Arabidopsis thaliana: one gene and its partners. The main gene of each other region encodes a partner of the protein of the gene in region 3 in a complex. Each region holds a gene or a part of one and is shown on either strand. Other genes may lie near its edges.

The links.
Region 1: KT1 (region 3) and CBL9 share a complex: the UniProt entries of both Arabidopsis thaliana proteins name them as parts of the K(+)-channel calcium-sensing kinase/phosphatase complex.
Region 2: KT1 (region 3) and CBL1 share a complex: the UniProt entries of both Arabidopsis thaliana proteins name them as parts of the K(+)-channel calcium-sensing kinase/phosphatase complex.

Annotation. Positions count from the first base shown.
Region 1 is NC_003076.8:19,128,663-19,134,105, forward strand, and holds CBL9 (calcineurin B-like protein 9), read right to left. Parts: upstream 3,643-5,443; 5' UTR 3,446-3,642; intron 3,215-3,445; 5' UTR 3,066-3,214; coding exon 2,987-3,065; intron 2,604-2,986; coding exon 2,521-2,603; intron 2,198-2,520; coding exon 2,138-2,197; intron 2,043-2,137; coding exon 1,934-2,042; intron 1,841-1,933; coding exon 1,788-1,840; intron 1,667-1,787; coding exon 1,586-1,666; coding exon of another isoform or gene 1,529-1,585; exon of another isoform or gene 1,498-1,528; coding exon 1,385-1,497; intron 1,298-1,384; coding exon 1,234-1,297; 3' UTR 978-1,233; downstream 1-977. UniProt on the Arabidopsis thaliana protein: Acts as a calcium sensor involved in abscisic acid (ABA) signaling and stress-induced ABA biosynthesis pathways. Contributes to the regulation of early stress-related CBF/DREB transcription factors.
Region 2 is NC_003075.7:9,814,510-9,820,330, forward strand, and holds CBL1 (calcineurin B-like protein 1), read left to right. Parts: upstream 1-1,844; 5' UTR 1,845-2,101; exon of another isoform or gene 2,102-2,237; intron 2,238-2,477; exon of another isoform or gene 2,478-2,509; 5' UTR 2,510-2,632; coding exon 2,633-2,711; intron 2,712-3,125; coding exon 3,126-3,208; exon of another isoform or gene 3,209-3,471; coding exon of another isoform or gene 3,472-3,507; coding exon 3,508-3,567; intron 3,568-3,671; coding exon 3,672-3,780; intron 3,781-3,870; coding exon 3,871-3,923; intron 3,924-4,043; coding exon 4,044-4,124; intron 4,125-4,220; coding exon 4,221-4,514; 3' UTR 4,515-4,844; downstream 4,845-5,821. Other genes in the region: AT4G17610 (tRNA/rRNA methyltransferase (SpoU) family protein), read right to left, coding at 67-160, 246-401; AT4G17616 (Pentatricopeptide repeat (PPR) superfamily protein), read left to right, coding at 5,099-5,821. UniProt on the Arabidopsis thaliana protein: Acts as a calcium sensor involved in the signaling pathway during growth and development and in response to abiotic stresses. May function as a positive regulator of salt and drought responses and as a negative regulator of cold response.
Region 3 is NC_003071.7:11,331,128-11,338,616, forward strand, and holds KT1 (K+ transporter 1), read right to left. Parts: upstream 5,612-7,489; 5' UTR 5,318-5,611; coding exon 5,145-5,317; intron 4,292-5,144; exon of another isoform or gene 4,080-4,291; coding exon 3,723-4,079; intron 3,654-3,722; coding exon 3,596-3,653; intron 3,488-3,595; coding exon 3,170-3,487; intron 3,089-3,169; coding exon 2,843-3,088; intron 2,754-2,842; coding exon 2,655-2,753; intron 2,573-2,654; coding exon 2,540-2,572; intron 2,417-2,539; coding exon 2,231-2,416; intron 2,129-2,230; coding exon 1,934-2,128; intron 1,840-1,933; coding exon 1,764-1,839; intron 1,671-1,763; coding exon 838-1,670; 3' UTR 723-837; downstream 1-722. Other genes in the region: KCS11 (3-ketoacyl-CoA synthase 11), read left to right, coding at 1-496. UniProt on the Arabidopsis thaliana protein: Highly selective inward-rectifying potassium channel that mediate potassium uptake by plant roots in response to low K(+) conditions, by a calcium-, CBL-, and CIPK-dependent pathway. Positively regulated by phosphorylation by CIPK23.

The DNA.
Region 1 (5,443 bases), on a different chromosome or scaffold from region 3:
AGAATTGGTTCAAATTATATGGCCCAGAATAGTAAAGCGGTGCGATGATAAGAATTGTTTTTTGGGCAAATATAATCATGAAATAGTAAAGGGAAAACCAAAATTCCAATATTCTTTTTTGGAAGTTTGAACATAGACATGAACTAAGTTTTTCTTCCATTATAATACACAAATTTTTAAGGTGTACCATTAACATAAACGTATGTGGCTAGGTGTAGAAGATAGATCACTTGTGCAAGCATATATAACTCATGGTAACTCATGTTACCAATCACACCCATAGTATGGAGGATAAGTGCACACACAGAGTTAAAAGGAAAAAAAAAACCATGAACATAAACTTGCGAGTTAAGCGCAATTATAGAGTACAATACAGTACTAATCCGAGGTCGAATCTGCGGTTATACAACAGATTAACCTCTTCTCCGTATTTCCGGGATTCTCTATACCATGCCATTTTTCTTTTTTTAGATATGGACAACGTCCCACTATCACGCTCATCTAGATTGTGCCAGGGGAAGTGTCATCTTCCGTGAGAAATTTCTTTTTGGTATCAACTCTTGAGTTTCATACAAATGATTCTTGTCTGAACTCTTGAGTTTCAACTAAATGATCCTCAAACTTGGCTTTTGTAGTCAAAGAACATGGAGGATATGTAAAAGCGTCGCCGTACAGGGGGATTAGAGAGAATCACTCCACAGCATGGAATGTCTGAATCCGCTTGAGTTCTTTAGCTACTGGGATCATCATTGGTCTGTCTTCATCTCAAAGCCGGCACCACACACGTCAATTCGGATTTATCGGTTACAATAAATTCAGGTCTGGTTTGATTATAATTTTAGTTTCATTTTGGTATTTTTGAAGTTTTCAATTCCCTTAATAATAATAAATTGATTTATATGGCTAATTTCTTCTGTCTAAGCATATTTGACTTTGATTTCTCGTTACATAAAACATAAAGTGTTGGAATAATTTATGAGCAAAATCAAATCTTTAATCAGAAATTGTGGTTTTATATTAATCTTTTCGTAGAACTACAACTTGAGTATTCAAAACTGTTAAAGAAAGAGAGCCAAAAGTAATCGCAATACATGAAATTGAAATCCAATAGACTAAAAATTCCAAAGGAAATAGAGCTCGATCCTGCTATATAACATTGTTGGAATCAATCTTCTTTTTATTCTTGGTCCAGCCTACGACTTGGTCTCTATAAACCAGCTTGTCTTGTCTCTTTCACGTCGCAATCTCGTCCACCTCCGAGTTAAATACGAAACTCGGAAATGTCGTCGTTATATCCCTAAAATTGAGTTTTTAAGTCCTCAAACTTGGAAAATGGCACCAAAACTGGCCAAATAGATGGAAGTATCATAGTAAGGAGACATACCTGAGATACGGAAGAGTCATGATTTTAAGCAAAGATGGGTTTTTGATAACGAAATTGCTCCATTCTGTCTTATCAATCTTTCCATCCCGATCCACATCTGCGTCCTCAAATGTCTGTTCACGAAAAGAAAAAAAAACTCGAGTTTCATAAAACAGTCTTTCTTTTGACAGAAAACAAACTTGTAATAGACAACAAGTAAACCTGATCAAGTATCATCTCTATTGTATCATCAGCCAGTTTCATTTCAGATTCGCAGAGAAGTGCAATCAACATCTGCTTCACCTGCCAAAAACGCATACACAATTATGATTACTTATAGATGATGCAGAATCCATAATACTGAAAGTCTTTGAAACATAGATTGTTTGGGAATGGAATGTGAAGATATAGGACCATTGTTTACCTCTTGGCGCTCAATGAAGCCTGTGCAGTCCATGTCGTAAAGCCTAAAGGTAACTGATATATGAAATACAGAATAACATGAATAAAAGTACAGCAAGGCTTTAGAGAAACGACGATGGATATAAACTCGTTTATGGGTCAACTTACAGTCTGTTTTCTCCTCTAGGGAAGCATTAGGATGGAAAACATTGAGTGATCTCACAAAGTCTCCAAAATCAATTACGCCTTTTCGTTTAACATCAAATAAATCAAATATCTGGAAAAAAGAGCATTACCATTAACTACTTATAATAGAACTAATCGTTACGACTAACTACAAAGTTACTAAGGCCAAAGAAACTTAGAATTTACCCTATTGGCAAACAAATTTTCTTTCTTTCTGTTCTTGAACAAAGCAAGTTGAAACTCTTCCTGCATAACAAGTTGGTCGAGAAAATAAGTAACAATATCCAAGAGTGGGCCAAGAAAACATCAATTTTTATAAGCAAACCAATATAAAAAATGGAATTAAAATTCAAGTCAACTATCATCAACACAGAGACTTGGTGAGCAATAAGGAGCCCACAGCTCAGCATGGAGATTCAATAATAAATTTGTGAAAGTCAAGAAAGTTGACAAATAATACGGAATATGGATAATGGTGCAATGAATATTATTATGTCACTGTACATCACGCATTCAAGATTCTCCCATGAGGTGCGAAATAATCAAAGGGCTATGAGATTTATCATTACCTTGTTTATCAAGCCATCGTCAACAACCGAGCTGCTTATGCTCTTGAACAATTCATACAATGCTTCAACTTCACTAACACTAACTAGAAAAACAAACAAATAATTAGCCACACTGCGAGATTTCTCATCAACATCATGTATATCACCAAAACAAAAATCGAAAGTGATGGTTCTTGAAAACTTTCTCTGATTAAGATTCCATTTGAAAGTAGAAGTAAACTACACTAATGATCCAAGAAACTATTGAAATAGGTTTATGTGATGACTTAAGTAACAACAAGCATCATTTAACAAAGTTGTAGATCAAATAGATTATGAATGAAAGAACCATTTTTCGGATTCAATAAATGGCGAAAACAGATTCTCATATCAGTTAACAATTGATAAAAGAGAGATCTTTATGCTCATGCTCTTTGAGAATAAAGCAAAGAAGAGAAAACGAAACGTATAGTGCAAGTAAACTTACAAGCAGTCTCAGAAGCAAGCTTCACAGGGTTTTCGTGATCGGGAAATTCTCTGGCAGCCGTGGAATGGAAACAACCCATTTACGGATGACAAGAGTAAAACGAAGAAGAAGAAGCTTGTTCCGGAGGTTGATAAAATCGCCAAACTCTACTACAATTTCTGAGATTGTGAAAAAGCTTGATTTCTGATATTACTCACTCCCCATCATCATCATAAGCATCTTTAAAAACTACAATGATTCAATCAAAAACAAAACCCAACAAAAATTGAATTAAAAGACGAACACGATAATTGAATAAGTATAAACCCTAGAAAAAATAAGCAGCAGCTATGTGGCAATCGAATTCAGATTAACAAAATTTTGAATATTAAATCGGAAATTAAACAGGTAATGTAGGAGCGGCTCGAGAATCTCCGAACCCAGAAACTGAATGGTGAAATCGAAAAATTGAGCACTTACCACCGAGAGAACGGGCTCGCCGGCTCGGTGAGAGAGAGAGAGGAAGGGATTTTGATTTTTGAGAAACGAGAGAGAGACGAAGAAGAAGATCTCTGACCACGATGGTAGATGAATTGATCGGACGGCTGAGATTAACTTCAGACTTTGCTGGGCTTTTTTTGTTCGTCAGAGGCCTCCGATTGGGGAAATTATGAGAGAGTTTGTTTATAACATGATCGTCGCACGTGTGAGGGTCTGAACGCGTGTGAAACACATCCTTGTCATTTTTACCTCTTTTTTTCTACCAACCCCATTTTTATTTTATTTTTATTACAGTGTGGGAAGAAAACAAAGCCATTATTGTTGTTTGACATTTTAGTTTCGAAATTTCAACTTTCAACTTTCCTTTTTTATTGGTTAAGAAAGTTAATCATTTTTACAAGTTTTCTTACAATTCTGCAATGATTTTGTTTTGTTTTTGTTTTTTTATTAAAAGAAAAATATTTAGACTCGAATTTTGTTTTTATGTAAGTTTATAACTGTAAGAAAAAAAAAGTGTAGAGAGGTAACTAGTACTTGTAGAGTCAAGATTTAACATACTCAAAAGATACTAAGAATGATATTTATTTGTATAAGATATAATTTTCAAATTGGATCTTTCATTTTCATAATCCATACAGATGTCAAGATCTCATAGTCTTCAAGATCTTGCAATAAATAAATATTAATATGATAACCCAACTAGCAAGGGGACTAATTACTGTATTTATCTATATATTCAAGATTCATGTAGAGTGTGTTTGATAATAATTTCAATATGGGTCATATACCTTTTGGGATAAACGAAGAATTATAATAATTCTGGTCACATTTTAGTAGTCTAATCAATCACGTAGGACAAACAAAAATCCAATAGTATAAAGGCGGTCTAAATAAGAATTATGGATTAACATAATTACTTTTATATAAACCATAAGACATGATCTAATCATGTATATTATCAAATTTTGAAACTAATTAAGTACGTACGCCATCCAACAATCCAATAATGTAAACTATATAATGTTCGCCTAAAAAAAAGAAATGGATTAGCATATCCATAAGACATGGCCAAATCATGCATGTTACGTATATTAAATTTGAAACTGGGATCCTGGCTCTAGTAAGAGTGGTTTATAATTTTATATTGGGTTTAGAATTCCAAATTAAATGGTCAAATTCTTTCATTCCAATACAAGCAGAAACTTTTATGATAGTAAAAAGATTATGAGAAGACTTATGAGGTGTTAAGAAAGTGGGAGATGTATTATGAGGAGGAGAGATTATGAGTATAGTAAAAAGATTATGAGAAAAAAGATTATGACAATAGTAAACAAGAAGGTCCATACAGTATCCATGTTTTTCAAGAAAGTGGGAGATGCCAAAGTCCTGGACCTAATATTTTTGTTTTAAGTTTTGATAACTAACTAATTTTTTTTAAATCAGACACAAAAATAAACATAGACTGTTGATATTTTAGAAAATTAAGATCTATTAAAAAAATATTGTATTTTCTTATAGATAAACAAAAAAAACTTTTTTTTTACTAAAAGACTAATATCAAACTGTCCTAAGGTCCCTACTAATTTTGGGCCGGTGGTCCTGACAAGTGACAACAGTTTAATGGTCCATTTTGTACTTAAAATTGAGTCAAATTAGTTGCGGCAATAAGAGCAGAGCAGTAATGTGTTACACCCTTAAAGGACGTTAGTACTGAAGCCCAAATTCTTTGGAGGTTGGTTGGTTGGTTGATGAAGTGCGGTTTTGATTAATTCACAAATATGACTTACTTGATGACTTTTCACAAACATCCATCTGGAAACGCTACTATTTGATGATGTATTAACAGTAGAAAGCATATTAAAAAAAATAAAATCTCTTATTGATTAAATTATCAAGCGTCAAAACGAAATAGGTCTGCTTTACAAGTCAAAGACCTTCGATACATTATCTTTGAGACTACTTCATAGAGATTTTTAA
Region 2 (5,821 bases), on a different chromosome or scaffold from region 3:
CAATTAAACAATTCTGTAATCACTAACACATCATACATATCTAAAAATTCAAAATTGGTAACTCACCAAAATTCTTTAGTAGATGACAAAGCCCAGCCACCAATGAAGCTATGTGGTTGCAATCATCAGAATCAAATCTCTTGTCCCCATTTACCGTATCCTATTCAAAAACATGTTCAAATCTTAAATTGAACAATCCGAAGCAAATTGCCGAAGTGTGAAACAATAAACCAATCAATCAATACCTCTAAACGAAAAGGGAATTGCTCAATGAGAGATTCGAAAAGAGTTGAAGGAGATACGCCTGTGGAGCTTAAAACACAGTCAAGGAAAGCAGGAATAGCTGCTGGTGGAACTTGCTTGAAGCTCAGTGACAATGAAGTAATCACTGACGAACCCATTTCAATTGAAGCTTCGAACTTCAAAAAAATTGGCTGCAAGCAGCCAGAATAGATGAAGAAACGTAAACGAATTTGAAATTAGTACAGAGGGAAGTGTTACGAGGAATCTCTCTGTTAAACCCTTTCAAATAATTTTCATGGCTTAGGACAGATAAACCCTAGTCGTATAATTAGGGGGGAAATTAGAATTATTGATAAGGGCTTTCTTGGGCTTAACTTAGTATGATTGGGCCGTATGGGATAGACTTCAGGAGAAGAAAAAAAAAAAAAAACCGGAAATTGTTCGGGGGATTGAACCCGACGTGAATCGAACACGCAACCTTCTGATCTGGAGTCAGACGCGCTACCATTGCGCCACGGATCCGGATGTTATTATGTTGCATTTATAAAATTATAATACCGTAGTATACGCAAATTAAACAAAACATTTTGAGGACGCGTTCCCAACACGGCCGGTGACCAAAGAGTCAATTTAAGCCCGCTTTAAAGATATCAAAATGATATAAAACTCTAATTGATCGAGTTAACGGCAGGAGAATCAAAGCTACTAATCATAATCAAGAAATTTAATATATATACGCTATTATTATTGTTTTGAACGATAAACACGTGGTCTGGTCGTGATTAAGGTCCTAATTATGTCAACGTTTGCCTGCCACATTGCAGACCGAAGTACTAATTCCACACCGACTGGTCTACGACATATTTAATTCATAAACACAATACTTTATAATTAAATTGATTCTTGTAGAGATTTGGCTTCATGATCTGATTTATTTAGTTAATAACCATTTCAACAGATAATTACAGTTTAGAGCCTTTTTCCAGTTGTCAAGAGTGTTATGGTTTTAAAATGGCACCCTGTAAATATCACATATGTTAGTGGATTTATTTTACCAAAGAAACAAAAAATGTTAATGGATTAAAAAACTTGTGTTTTTTTAGATAGCAAAACCAAAAGAAGATATGGTGACCACTAACACGATCAGTCGAAGACAAATGTTTCCCAGACTTTATTATTGGCGTTTCCATTTTGCATATTAGTCAAATTATGGAGCATCGCAAATATCTAATAAACTAACTATATAAAAAGTTATTATAATACAGGGTTACCAATTCCGTATATTCAGAATATTCCTAAGAGGTGCCATTTTGACTAATAAAATGGACGGATCTTTGATTTATTCCGGAAGTGAATGGATATTAGAAGAAACAAAAGAAATTTTGAATTTCTTGTCCAAAAAATATTTTTCCCATTCTTAGTATACAGAAACATAGAAAATATCGTGTATGCTTACGTAACAATCAAGTTGTAAAAAGAAAAAAAGACAGAAGATAAATAGTACAGAATGAACATAACAGAAATCAATCTATGGAATTAGGTACAATTAGGTTCGGTCTAACTGAAATTACATGACGACAGAAAAAACTGAACTAAACGCCGATTCTATTAACTTCCAAAACTGACTCGTCTCACACGCGCTTACTATGATTCACACGTGCGAATATGCCATCATATAAGCGCTACTAAAATTCATTCCAAAGGAAAAAGAAAAATAAATAATCGATCTCAACCGTCCGATCATCCATCTTGCCATCACCGTTCACCAATCTTCTTCGTCTCCTCTCTCTTTCTCTCTTTTTGCTGTTTCTAGCTCCTCTCTCTCTGGATCTCGCCGGCGAACCGTTTCTCTTGGGTGGTGAGTGTTGCTTCTTATTTTTAAGAATCTTTTTCTTTTATTTCCATCGAATTTCGTTTTTTTGAGTTTGATTTTTGGCCTGTGGAATTCTCGATGTTTCTACATTGATCGTCTGGTTTCGAATCGTGTTTTACTGGTACAATTTTGATTCCATCTCCGTATCTTATGGATTCGAAGAACTTTGTGTTTTTTTTTTCTTTCTTCATTGATGCTACTTTGCTAGGGTTTACACTTTTTTCTTCCATGGTAAAAAAATTTGAGCAAAGTTGTTGAGATTCTTCTAGACTGTTTTCAATTTTACGTTTCACAAAGATTTTTTTAGATGATTTGTTTCTAATGAAATGGCATTGTTTGTGTTCTGTTTCCATATGTGTAGATTTTGAAAATATGTTTGTGATGATTGTGCAGTAAACAGTAGCAATCAAGCTATAGAATCTCAGATATCGCTGAATTAGCTGTTGGATTTTATCCGCCTTTTCTTCGTTATCCGGGGCTCGGGTATAAGGTTTCATCGTCTTATTTCATCTGTAAATGGGCTGCTTCCACTCAAAGGCAGCAAAAGAATTTCGAGGACACGAAGACCCTGTTAAGCTTGCCTCTGAGACAGCTTGTAAGTTTACTCGCGCTATAAGTTTAAACCTCCTCTAGATTCATTTCTCTCAAAGCTGCATGTTCATTTGTTTTCTGATATGAGATGAGAATCATCAGTTAGATTCAAATCATTCTTTCTCTGTTCACTGATTTAGTTTATCTCCGGTTTGGATTTTTTTAGTTTTGTGTTTTGGAGTCTTTGTCTGCCTAACAATTTCTAGTAATGATCCTTCAAAGTTGGTTAACACTCTATCTCATGTTTCTTGTTACCAATACCATCACCTTAATCTTGTTCCTTAACTTGTCAAGACGAGTTCTCTCTCCATGCAAATTCTAAATGTGAATTATTAGTCTCTTTGTTTGTTTGTTTGTTTGTTCCTGGTAATTCTTTGTTTTGATCTCGTAGTGTTGCTTGTTTTTTTCTCTTTTCCAGTTAGTGTGAGTGAGGTTGAAGCATTATTTGAGCTATTCAAGAGCATAAGCAGTTCGGTTGTTGATGATGGTCTGATTAACAAGGTACAAAGTTTGTTTCTTTTGACCCAATTTGGATCTTTTCATGACCCCATCGTTGTATCTTTTTGTTCTTTACGCTATTCATCTACAGTATTTTTCAACTTAGTTGACTTTATTTGAGCAATAATTATTCTTCCATGACGATATGTCTGTTCCATATTGCATCGATTCAATGTATCGTAGCCCTTAATGTTTGACTTGAACTTAACTTATTTTATTGATTGCTTTGATTTTGAATTTTGAAGCCTTCATGGCCCACCTTGTTTATGTTGTTTTTTAATCCTGGCTTCACATGTATGCAGGAGGAGTTTCAACTTGCTTTGTTCAAAAGCCGGAAGAGGGAGAATATATTTGCTAATAGGGTAAAATCTTAATTCTTCAGGCTTTTACAAGATTCATCTTCTGGAAGAGTGATCTAAACCAAGATAATATGTCCATTATCCTAAACAATATTGCTTTTCCGCAGATATTTGATATGTTTGATGTTAAACGAAAAGGAGTCATCGATTTCGGGGACTTTGTAAGATCACTCAATGTTTTCCACCCCAATGCTTCTCTAGAAGACAAAATAGATTGTAAGTTGACATAAGATAGTTTCATATATAGGTGTTTATTGAAGCTTTTGTGAAGAGATTTATTGATTCTGGTCTGCCATTTTTTCTCAGTTACGTTTAGGCTTTACGACATGGACTGCACGGGTTACATTGAACGACAAGAGGTAATACTAACTTGCAAGCTTTGAATACTAGTCATGATAGATCTTTGCCATGTTCTTGAGTATTCATCTTTTACTTAATAACTTTGCAAGAAATCGTTAATGAATGTGATATATTTGCAGGTCAAGCAAATGTTGATCGCGCTTCTCTGCGAATCTGAAATGAAACTGGCTGATGAAACCATAGAGATAATACTCGATAAGGTTTGTTGTTGTCTAAGGCTTTATTTTTCTAGATGGTATACATTTAGAGATGATGTTCTTAATGTGGTTTCCTTCGTCCTTCTCATATATGAACAGACATTTGAAGATGCAGACGTGAATCAAGATGGAAAAATTGATAAATTAGAGTGGAGTGATTTCGTAAACAAAAATCCATCATTGCTTAAGATCATGACTCTTCCATATCTCAGGTATATTACAAATTGCCTTTTATGGAAACCAAAGAAAACTGAAAAATGCCAAATGAAATGTCATATTAACTTGTACATAAACAATGCAGGGATATTACGACAACGTTTCCGAGTTTTGTCTTCCATTCGGAGGTCGATGAGATTGCCACATGAAGAAACAAACTGGTTTAAGACCGAGTAGATTGCCACGAGTTGGAAGAACAAGTCTGAGCTAATCGGTGTAATCAACATCTGTTTGTAAACAGTAGTAGAGCATATTCTCTTGAAATTGTTTGGGTTACTTTTTTCTTCTCACAACAGTTTAAAATTTTGGGTTTTTAGCTTACAAAAAAAAAAAAAGAAGAAGCGCGTAATCACCAATCCTTCACTTCATATAGTTAGGAAATGTTAATGAGTTTGTACATATTACATCATACGTTTGTTGTAATTGTTTTTTTTCAAGTAAAAAAGTAAAGATTTGTTACGTTTACTCGGGGTTCTAATTGTTCCAATGGAATCTTATACTGCAAAAACGTGAATTTGAGATTTTGTTGGGTCCTTAACCGCAAAAGCGAAAGTACGAATGTCCTAGGACCCGACCCGATGAAATTTACAGTCTTGCCACTCTTCTCTTGTTACAGTGTTCCTCTCTTCTCTCTCGATTTCGAAGTTTCCAGCAATTTAGGGTTCTTTCTCGATTGGAGAATTCGTATGTTGTTATCATGTTCTCGTCATTGTTGTGCTTTCTTTGTTAAATTCTAGATTTGGAATCGAAATTCTAGACTAATGTTTAGGAAACGGAACTTAGTTCTAGAATCATTTCGTCGATTCGATAGCGGTAACGTAGAAACCCTAATTTCATGGGTCTTGTGTAGTCGCACCTCAAAGCCGTCTCTGTTCTGTACTAGTGTTAAACCTGCTAGATTAAACTGGGAAGTTTCTTCTCAAGTAATTCTCAAGAAGAAGCTAGAAACAGCTCTTAAAGATCACCGTGTAGATGATGCTTGGGACGTGTTTAAAGATTTCAAACGCCTCTATGGATTTCCAGAGAGTGTAATCATGAACAGATTTGTTACTGTGTTGTCTTACTCGTCTGATGCTGGTTGGCTTTGTAAGGCTAGTGATCTTACTCGTTTGGCTTTGAAGCAAAATCCAGGTATGTTAAGTGGCGATGTGTTAACAAAGTTGTCGTTGTCTCTAGCGAGAGCTCAGATGGTTGAATCTGCTTGTAGTATCCTTCGAATAATGCTGGAGAAGGGATATGTTCTAACCTCAGATGTATTGAGGCTTGTTGTGATGCATATGGTGAAAACAGAGATTGGGACTTGCTTAGCTTCGAATTATTTGGTTCAGGTTTGTGATCGTTTTGTGGAGTTCAATGTGGGGAAAAGAAATAGCAGCCCCGGGAATGTTGTGAAGCCTGATACGGTCTTGTTTAATCTTGTACTTGGTTCTTGTGTGAGATTTGGTTTCTCTCTCAAAGGCCAAGAACTTATCGAGCTAATGGCA
Region 3 (7,489 bases):
GGCTGTTGCGGGTGATGCTCTAAAGACAAATATTACGACGTTAGGACCACTGGTTTTACCGACATCTGAACAGCTTCTGTTCTTTGCAACGTTAGTGGGAAGAAAACTCTTCAAGATGAAGATCAAGCCTTACATCCCAGACTTCAAACTAGCGTTTGAGCATTTCTGCATCCACGCAGGAGGGAGAGCTGTTCTTGATGAATTGGAGAAGAACTTGAAACTCACAGAGTGGCATATGGAGCCCTCGAGGATGACACTCTACCGTTTTGGTAACACGTCCAGTTCTTCTTTGTGGTATGAATTAGCATATAGTGAGGCCAAAGGAAGGATCAAGAAAGGTGATAGAATTTGGCAGATAGCTTTTGGTTCGGGGTTCAAGTGCAACAGCTCGGTTTGGAGAGCGGTAAGGTCGGTAAACCCTAAGAAAGAGAAGAACCCATGGATGGATGAAATTCATGAGTTCCCAGTTGAAGTCCCCAAGGTCTCCACAATCTAGAAACCACTTAGTGGCAAATTTTCAGAAGAGGTTTTTGAGTTTTCAGCTTTTGATATTTTGTGTCTTCCCAGTGAATTTACCTTTTTCTTGATTTGATAATCAGATACACCAAACTGGTTAACAATATTTTTCTTCTTTTTTGCGGAAAAACTTGTTGTAGTCAGTAGCAGACCGTCAATGGTCGGTCCAGCTTGTGTTTTTGGTTGTTGTGTCTGCATATATATTTCCTTTAAGCATTCTTTGTCTCTTTCATTTTTTGACAAAGTTGTTAAAAACAAGAGTTATCAACTTGTCATTAATAACAATAGGTGATAGAATGTGGCAGAGAGTTTCTATGGTTGTTAAGAATCAGTTGCAAAGATGAGATGATCTCCATCTCTTATAACATCTACATCATCAATCTCTGCATTGTTGTCTTTGTTCATAACTTTGGTAGCAACAATACCAAACTTGTTGGAACCCAATTCTAGCAACTCCTTGAAACTCCCAGGAAGCAGTACCAGCTTCCCGGCTATGTCATCTTTCTCTGCACAACTAATCGTCACTCTCACCGGGTTTCCAGTTCTGCCTTCATCTACCGTAGCTAGCCCGTTCTTGGGTACGCTTTGATTTGCTAATATACCAAACAACGAGTTATCGAAGTTGTTAGTTTTACGTCTTGCTCTTGTTTCTCGAATCCTGAAAGACACTTCTCTTGATGCAGGACGGATGTTGGGTTCACTAGTGAATCTTCCGAGGAACCGGATCCCGGTTTTGAGTATAGGTACCGAAGAACTTGTCTCGATATGCACTCTCCTCTCATGTAACTTTTCTCGGAATAAGGCTTTAATATCCTCATGCCCTTGTTGCTCAGCAAGATCCCTCGGCGTCCAACCATGCATATCCTGCTTGTTAACATCCGCACCTTGCTCCAGAAGATACTTTACCATCTCAATGTTCTCTTCGCATACAGCGGTATGGAGCGCAGAGGTGCCTGTGGCTCTAGGACGAGTAACGTCTCCACCATGAAGAACAATTTCTTTTAGTAGTTTCAAGTTTCCTTGCTCAGCCGCCGTGCAAGCAAAATGACCCACATCCCCTGCGTCTATGGTACTGCCATGTTCTAACAGTACCTTTACAACTTTCTCATGCCCTTCCACCATTGCTTCCCACAGTGGTACACTCCCTTCCGCGTCTGCGTTTACATTTCGAAGAAACCAAGAAGCTCAATACTTCAGAAGAAATCCTGAAATCAAAAGGGAAGTACCAGAACTGAACAAGCAAGTACCTCTGCAATTGGGGTCTGCGTGGTACTCCAACAGAAGAAGAACACAATTTAGAGTTCCTTTTGATGCTGCTATATGCTGTTTCCAGAAAAAAAAAAGAGATCATAAGTTATAGTCTCCAAGAGCTTGGATGAGAAGAAAATAACAGAACAAGAATGTGAACTTGACTGACCAGAGGTGTTCTGCCATTGTTATCCGATTCATTTGGATCAAGTCCTCTCTTTAGTAACTGATGTAAAAGTAAATCGTCTTCTCTTATTGCAGCAAAGCATAAATTGAGAGGAAGATCCATTTTACCCCGTGCAAGCATGTTTTCTATCTCCAGCAGAACATTCGTCATCACCGGATCATTCATTTCTTTCAAATGCTGCTCTCCACAAAGAAAGAGAGTGAGAACAAGTAAGTAATAGTTCATAGATACTTTTCTGTTTTCAATATTTGAAAACCTCAGAAGGATCTGTTTATTCACCTGAAGTAGATTATTCATGATTATGGTACCATCACCAACATTGGCCTGAATAATATTCAAGAAAGTTGTACGGTTCATACGCAACAGTTGGCACAAACGTTTGGTCCTCACAGTAAACAGTTGTGGTCTGTAGCATAACACCCCTATCTCCCCTATAATGTCTCCAGCTTTAACCTCTCTCACAATCTGAAATTCTCCATAAACTTCTCTTTGTGAATGCTTAGTTACATCATAACTCCAAGATCACAGGTATGGAGACAAAAGGGATAAACATAAAATAAGAAACATCCATCAAGTGACGCGACTTACGCTTTCTGTTCCAGTATCTACATCCACCAAGTCCTGCATCATAACGGATATGTAAGAGAAGTAAGTTTTATGTCAACTCAACAAATCTGTAGAGAACTTTGTAATGTTTTATTACCGCGGTTCCGTTCACAAGGATGTAGAAGTCTGTTGGCGCTTCGTTCTGCAAGATAACATCTTCTTTTGGTGGGAAATACTCAGCTTTCATTTCTGAGACCTGTAAAATGTACAAAGTAGTGGTAGCTTCATTTGTGTGTTGAAAATGGGATATGAATGATGTTTTCACATGCATTGTCATTAGTATACCAGTTGAAAAAGCAGGTCATTGGATACTCCTCGAAACAGGTAGACTTTATCCATGAGGGAGTAGAAAAGAAAGTGTGATATACTCGATCTAATGGCCTTTGGGAGTGCATCAAGAGTTTCTTGCTGTTGCAGACCCTCAGAGTCAGTCCGGTATTTCAAACATAAATGTGCAAGCATTTGATCTTGCAGACGAGGTGGTAAATGGTTTCTATGAGCAAAATTTGAAGCAGCTTGGATTGTATCTCTCTGCAAAATGAGAACAAAATATTATAAACCGCGATGGATATGCTTCAAAGATTGAAGATGGATATGAAGATGCTAACTTACAAAATTTCTAGTCCGACTTGTTCCATGGACTACCAAATTTGTCATGTTACCAATCAAGTAAGCGGTTAATCCGAGGTTGAAGAGCATATAGAAGATATCAAATATCATCTCCTTTGTGTTCACAGGATGCAGATCACCATAACCAACAGTGGTTAGAGTAGTGATGGACCAATACATGGAAGTCACATATCTCATCCACAAGCTTTCCTCTAGGAAGTTTGCTACATTTGCACCAATCCAGGTCTTTGCGGGGTTAGAATTGCGCGCTGCGATAAGGTAATAGAAACATGCAGCACAATGAACCGCAAAAAGAGTGACCTGCAAAAATGCTCTGGTTGGTTAGTATCTACACTATTACTACATCGAGAGTGTAGTAGTTTGAATAAAGATAACATTATAAGAAGCAAAACATTTTGATGTTCTTACACAAACGAGTTTTGCGCATCGGACCCAAAAGTAGTTGAAGTTGCGGTCTTTCTCTAGTCTGTTAAACAGAGAATGTCAAGATTAAAGAAAATAATGAAAGAAAGAAGAAAAGTTTAGTGATTCTAACCTGGCAAACAAGGCACCGACTCTGCGAAGACGCCAAAGACGAAGCATGTTAAACAATCCATAAGACTGAGATGAGATTCTCATAGCAGCCTCTGAGGGAATGGTTGAAACAAGATCAAGAAGGAACCAAGAACGCAAGTACTTAAATGCAATCTGTTTACGGTCATCAACAATGAGGTAAGTCGATTTATCGAGGTAACCAACAAAGAATGTCATGATGATATCGATGGCGAAGAATGCGTTCACAATGTTATCGGTGATAGATAGTGGTGGCCTTGGCTTTCTCAAGAACCCAAACTCGAAAGGCGAAACCCAAGCTGTGTAAACCACAAGAACCACTAGGAAAGCCTCCCATATCCTGTAGTCAACATTTCCATTTCAGTCATATTCAATAATCTAGTACATTTTCTACATGTAGTTGAACATATCTCTTAAGTTACTGCATGAATATATCCAAGTAAGTCTCATATTTAATTTATCAGTACTTTGTGTTTCAATAGTATGTTACTATTTGATGACGCTATTGAGGATACAACAACCAAGTACAGTTTTTTCTACTTTTGGTTATAGTAATATATCAGATTTGATATCAGTCGTTGAAATCAAGTAATGAGTGCCTTGAATGTTCCACATTCTCTTTTTCAATTACTATAAATTATCCCCAAAAAGCAAAAGCCAAAAGCAAAGGCGGCTTTTAAGCTAATTAGCCAACGAGAGTAATAATGGGAGCCTTGAATATTCTACAATAGCCTTCACATTTATAGATCTTCTTTTTTGAATATTAGGGAACTAGGATTTGAATATTCCAAATGTTGAGTAAAAAGGGAGCTTTAGTCGTCAAGTAGTTAAAATTTTCAAATTAACCTAAGAAAATATTATTATTAAAAATCAATTGTTGTTGAGGTAAAAAAACGTGGAAACCAACATTTTTGTGTTGTTTGACCAACTAGCATTTTTTATTTGCACGTAATTTTTTTATTTTATGAAGAAATTAAAACATTTTTCAAATAAAATAGTCCAATAAGATAAAATAACATGTTATTTGTTTAAAACCAACATGAAACTCTTACTATTTTGAGGGTAAACTTGTAACCTAACCAAATAGTTATTCACCTAACTCATAGAAAATAAGGTTAGTTAATCTAGTGCATATACTTAATAGTATTTACCCACAATAAATTACAAAAGTTGATCACCAACCATTAAAAAGAATACAATTTTTTTTTATATTCAGTATTCATTTAATAAAATACAAATTTGTTAACTATGATCCTAAAGTAAAGTTAATTTCTTGTTTCCGATCCTCATAAATGAAAGAATCAGAAGTTATATAGTTGAAATATATATCAAGTTAAAATGGTAATCGTCTTCTTAGCTTGACATGGAAGAGAAACAAGAAAAACAAAAAACAAAAGAGTGAAACCTGTATTTGTGATCATAAGGAGATACAACGAATCTCCTAAGCTTAACTCGTCGATTACTTCTTGCACCAAGTGAAGGTAAAATTCCAGTAGAAAGACTAAAATGACTACTCTCTCTCGAAAGCTGTTCAATCTCATCTTGGACTTGTCCGCATAACAAAGCCCCTCCTCTCATCACCGACGTTTTTTTTTCTTGGCTTCCTCTTTGATGGTTCCTTTTTTTTGTTCTTTTGGTTTCGGCAAAAGAGGCAAAATAAGCAGCTTAACTCTTGGCTTTATTGGTTTCACATTTTTTTTTCACTCGTTGTTGATGAGTGAGACCTTTTTTTTTTCTTTATAACAAAAAAAAACTCTTGGCTAGTTGGCTTTATTACGGGTGTGTGTGTCATTTCTGACTTTGGATCCCTTCACTTTCAAGGAATTAAGTTTTCTCTCGGCAACACAGTGGTTGGCCCCACTTTCACGTCTTAACCCTTACTGTAGCATTAATGGTGGCTTCTCCATTTCAAGATAAAATAAAATATCATTCTTGCTCATAAATAATTGTATTAACAGAAGAAGAAAAATTAGACCGAAGAGGAAGAGTTGACCAAAAATTTATACATCAGAGCATGATCTCAAGTTTTTCAATCATTATACTTACTATTTTATTGTTTGTTTGACTTCTAACTAAAGGAAAAAAAAAACACATATAGATGTAGGACACGACTTAAAACTTGTTTTAAAATATTTTAGGTGATCGATCATATAACATTCTTGGGCTCATTTGTGGTATGGAGATTTGAAGTGAGATATTGATTGCAACTTATGGTATGATTGGTTGCATACTTGCATAAAGAGCAATAAATGTTAAACTGTCATACTTTTATTTTAACGAGTAAAGGAAAAGCAAATCGTAAAAAAATAGTTTTTCTTTGTTTGGGCATAAAAGAAAAATATTTTGGTTCATCATCCCTAGATCGTAAGCCCTTTTGTTCACCTTTTCCTCGTCTATCTTACTCACTTCTTGTCCATCATCGTATATATAGGGAATTTAAGATAAGCTAGACATTTAGCCTTTAGGATATGATAACTACCATTGTTTGGGGAGGAAGCTACTTAGGATTTAAGTAGATAATGTAAAATGATGAGGGATAATAATGAACTTTGGATAACTATCCATTTTCTTGAAAGAGAAGTAATGTGATGGATAATCATCACATTTATAACAGTTACCTCATTAAAGTGGTCTTATTACTACAAATATTTGTTGCTATTTTTTCCTTCAAGTTCTGGATTTCTCAAATTTCATATAGTTAAAGTTTTAATTTACAAGATGTCTACTGCTATAGATAAATCATAAAGGTTTGATTGCTATGTCGCTAGGGGAGGAAGATGACCTTTTAAATATATTTGATCTACTTCAATATTGCTCTAGTGAAAAGAGTGTTGTGAGTTTGATAGGAAGAATTCGTAAATCGGATTGCCAAATGATGGAGCTAATCCTAGATAAGCCAAGGAACTGGCAAAAGTATGAAATCATCATAGAGATGGCTATTTCCTATAGAGAATGTTAGATGCGTAACAACCAATTTTCTTTTACTTTTAGAATTTTCTTTATTTACTAATATTTCAGTTAGAGGTTAGCACACTTCTTGTTCCATCCCATAACTGTTCGGGTGTTTCCAAATTCCTATCTTATATAGGAATGTATTCTCAATATGGGACAAGTTGGTATTTCCAAATAGAAACTGGAGGGGTTCCCTAAGTCCTGATTGTGACAAATACAACTAGTATATATATATATATATATATATATATATATATAATATTCTAAAAACTTAATTGATTTAATTTATGTTTAGTTGTTCTAAAATGGATTATGTTTCTTTGTTTTTTCAAGTTTTAACTTTTCACTATATAACACACTTTATCATTTTTTCTTGTTTGGAAAATATTTATGCTAGATAAATTGAAAACATGTTAATTATAGAGCAAGAGTTTATATTTTATTTTATTGTAACAGGTTCTAAGACCTTTTTTTATAGAAAACATTAAATTAAGATAATTATTAATTACATGACTCGCGCTCTGACCAGTTGGACCAAATATATATGAAACACAAATTTAGTTTAATAGTATTTTAGAGTATTTCTCTCTTTTTTTTTATGAGCTGGTATTTCTCTAATTTACAAGTGTGTTGCATATAAAACTTCATTCCTTTTTTCCTTTTGTATCATTGTATGGGTCTTTGACTCTTTTTTGGGTCCTTTTTCGTCGACCATTAGCGTCTCCACTTTACCTCCTTTGTTTCCACTCACAATTGTAACTACATGGGCCACACTGGCCCATATACATTCATCCAATC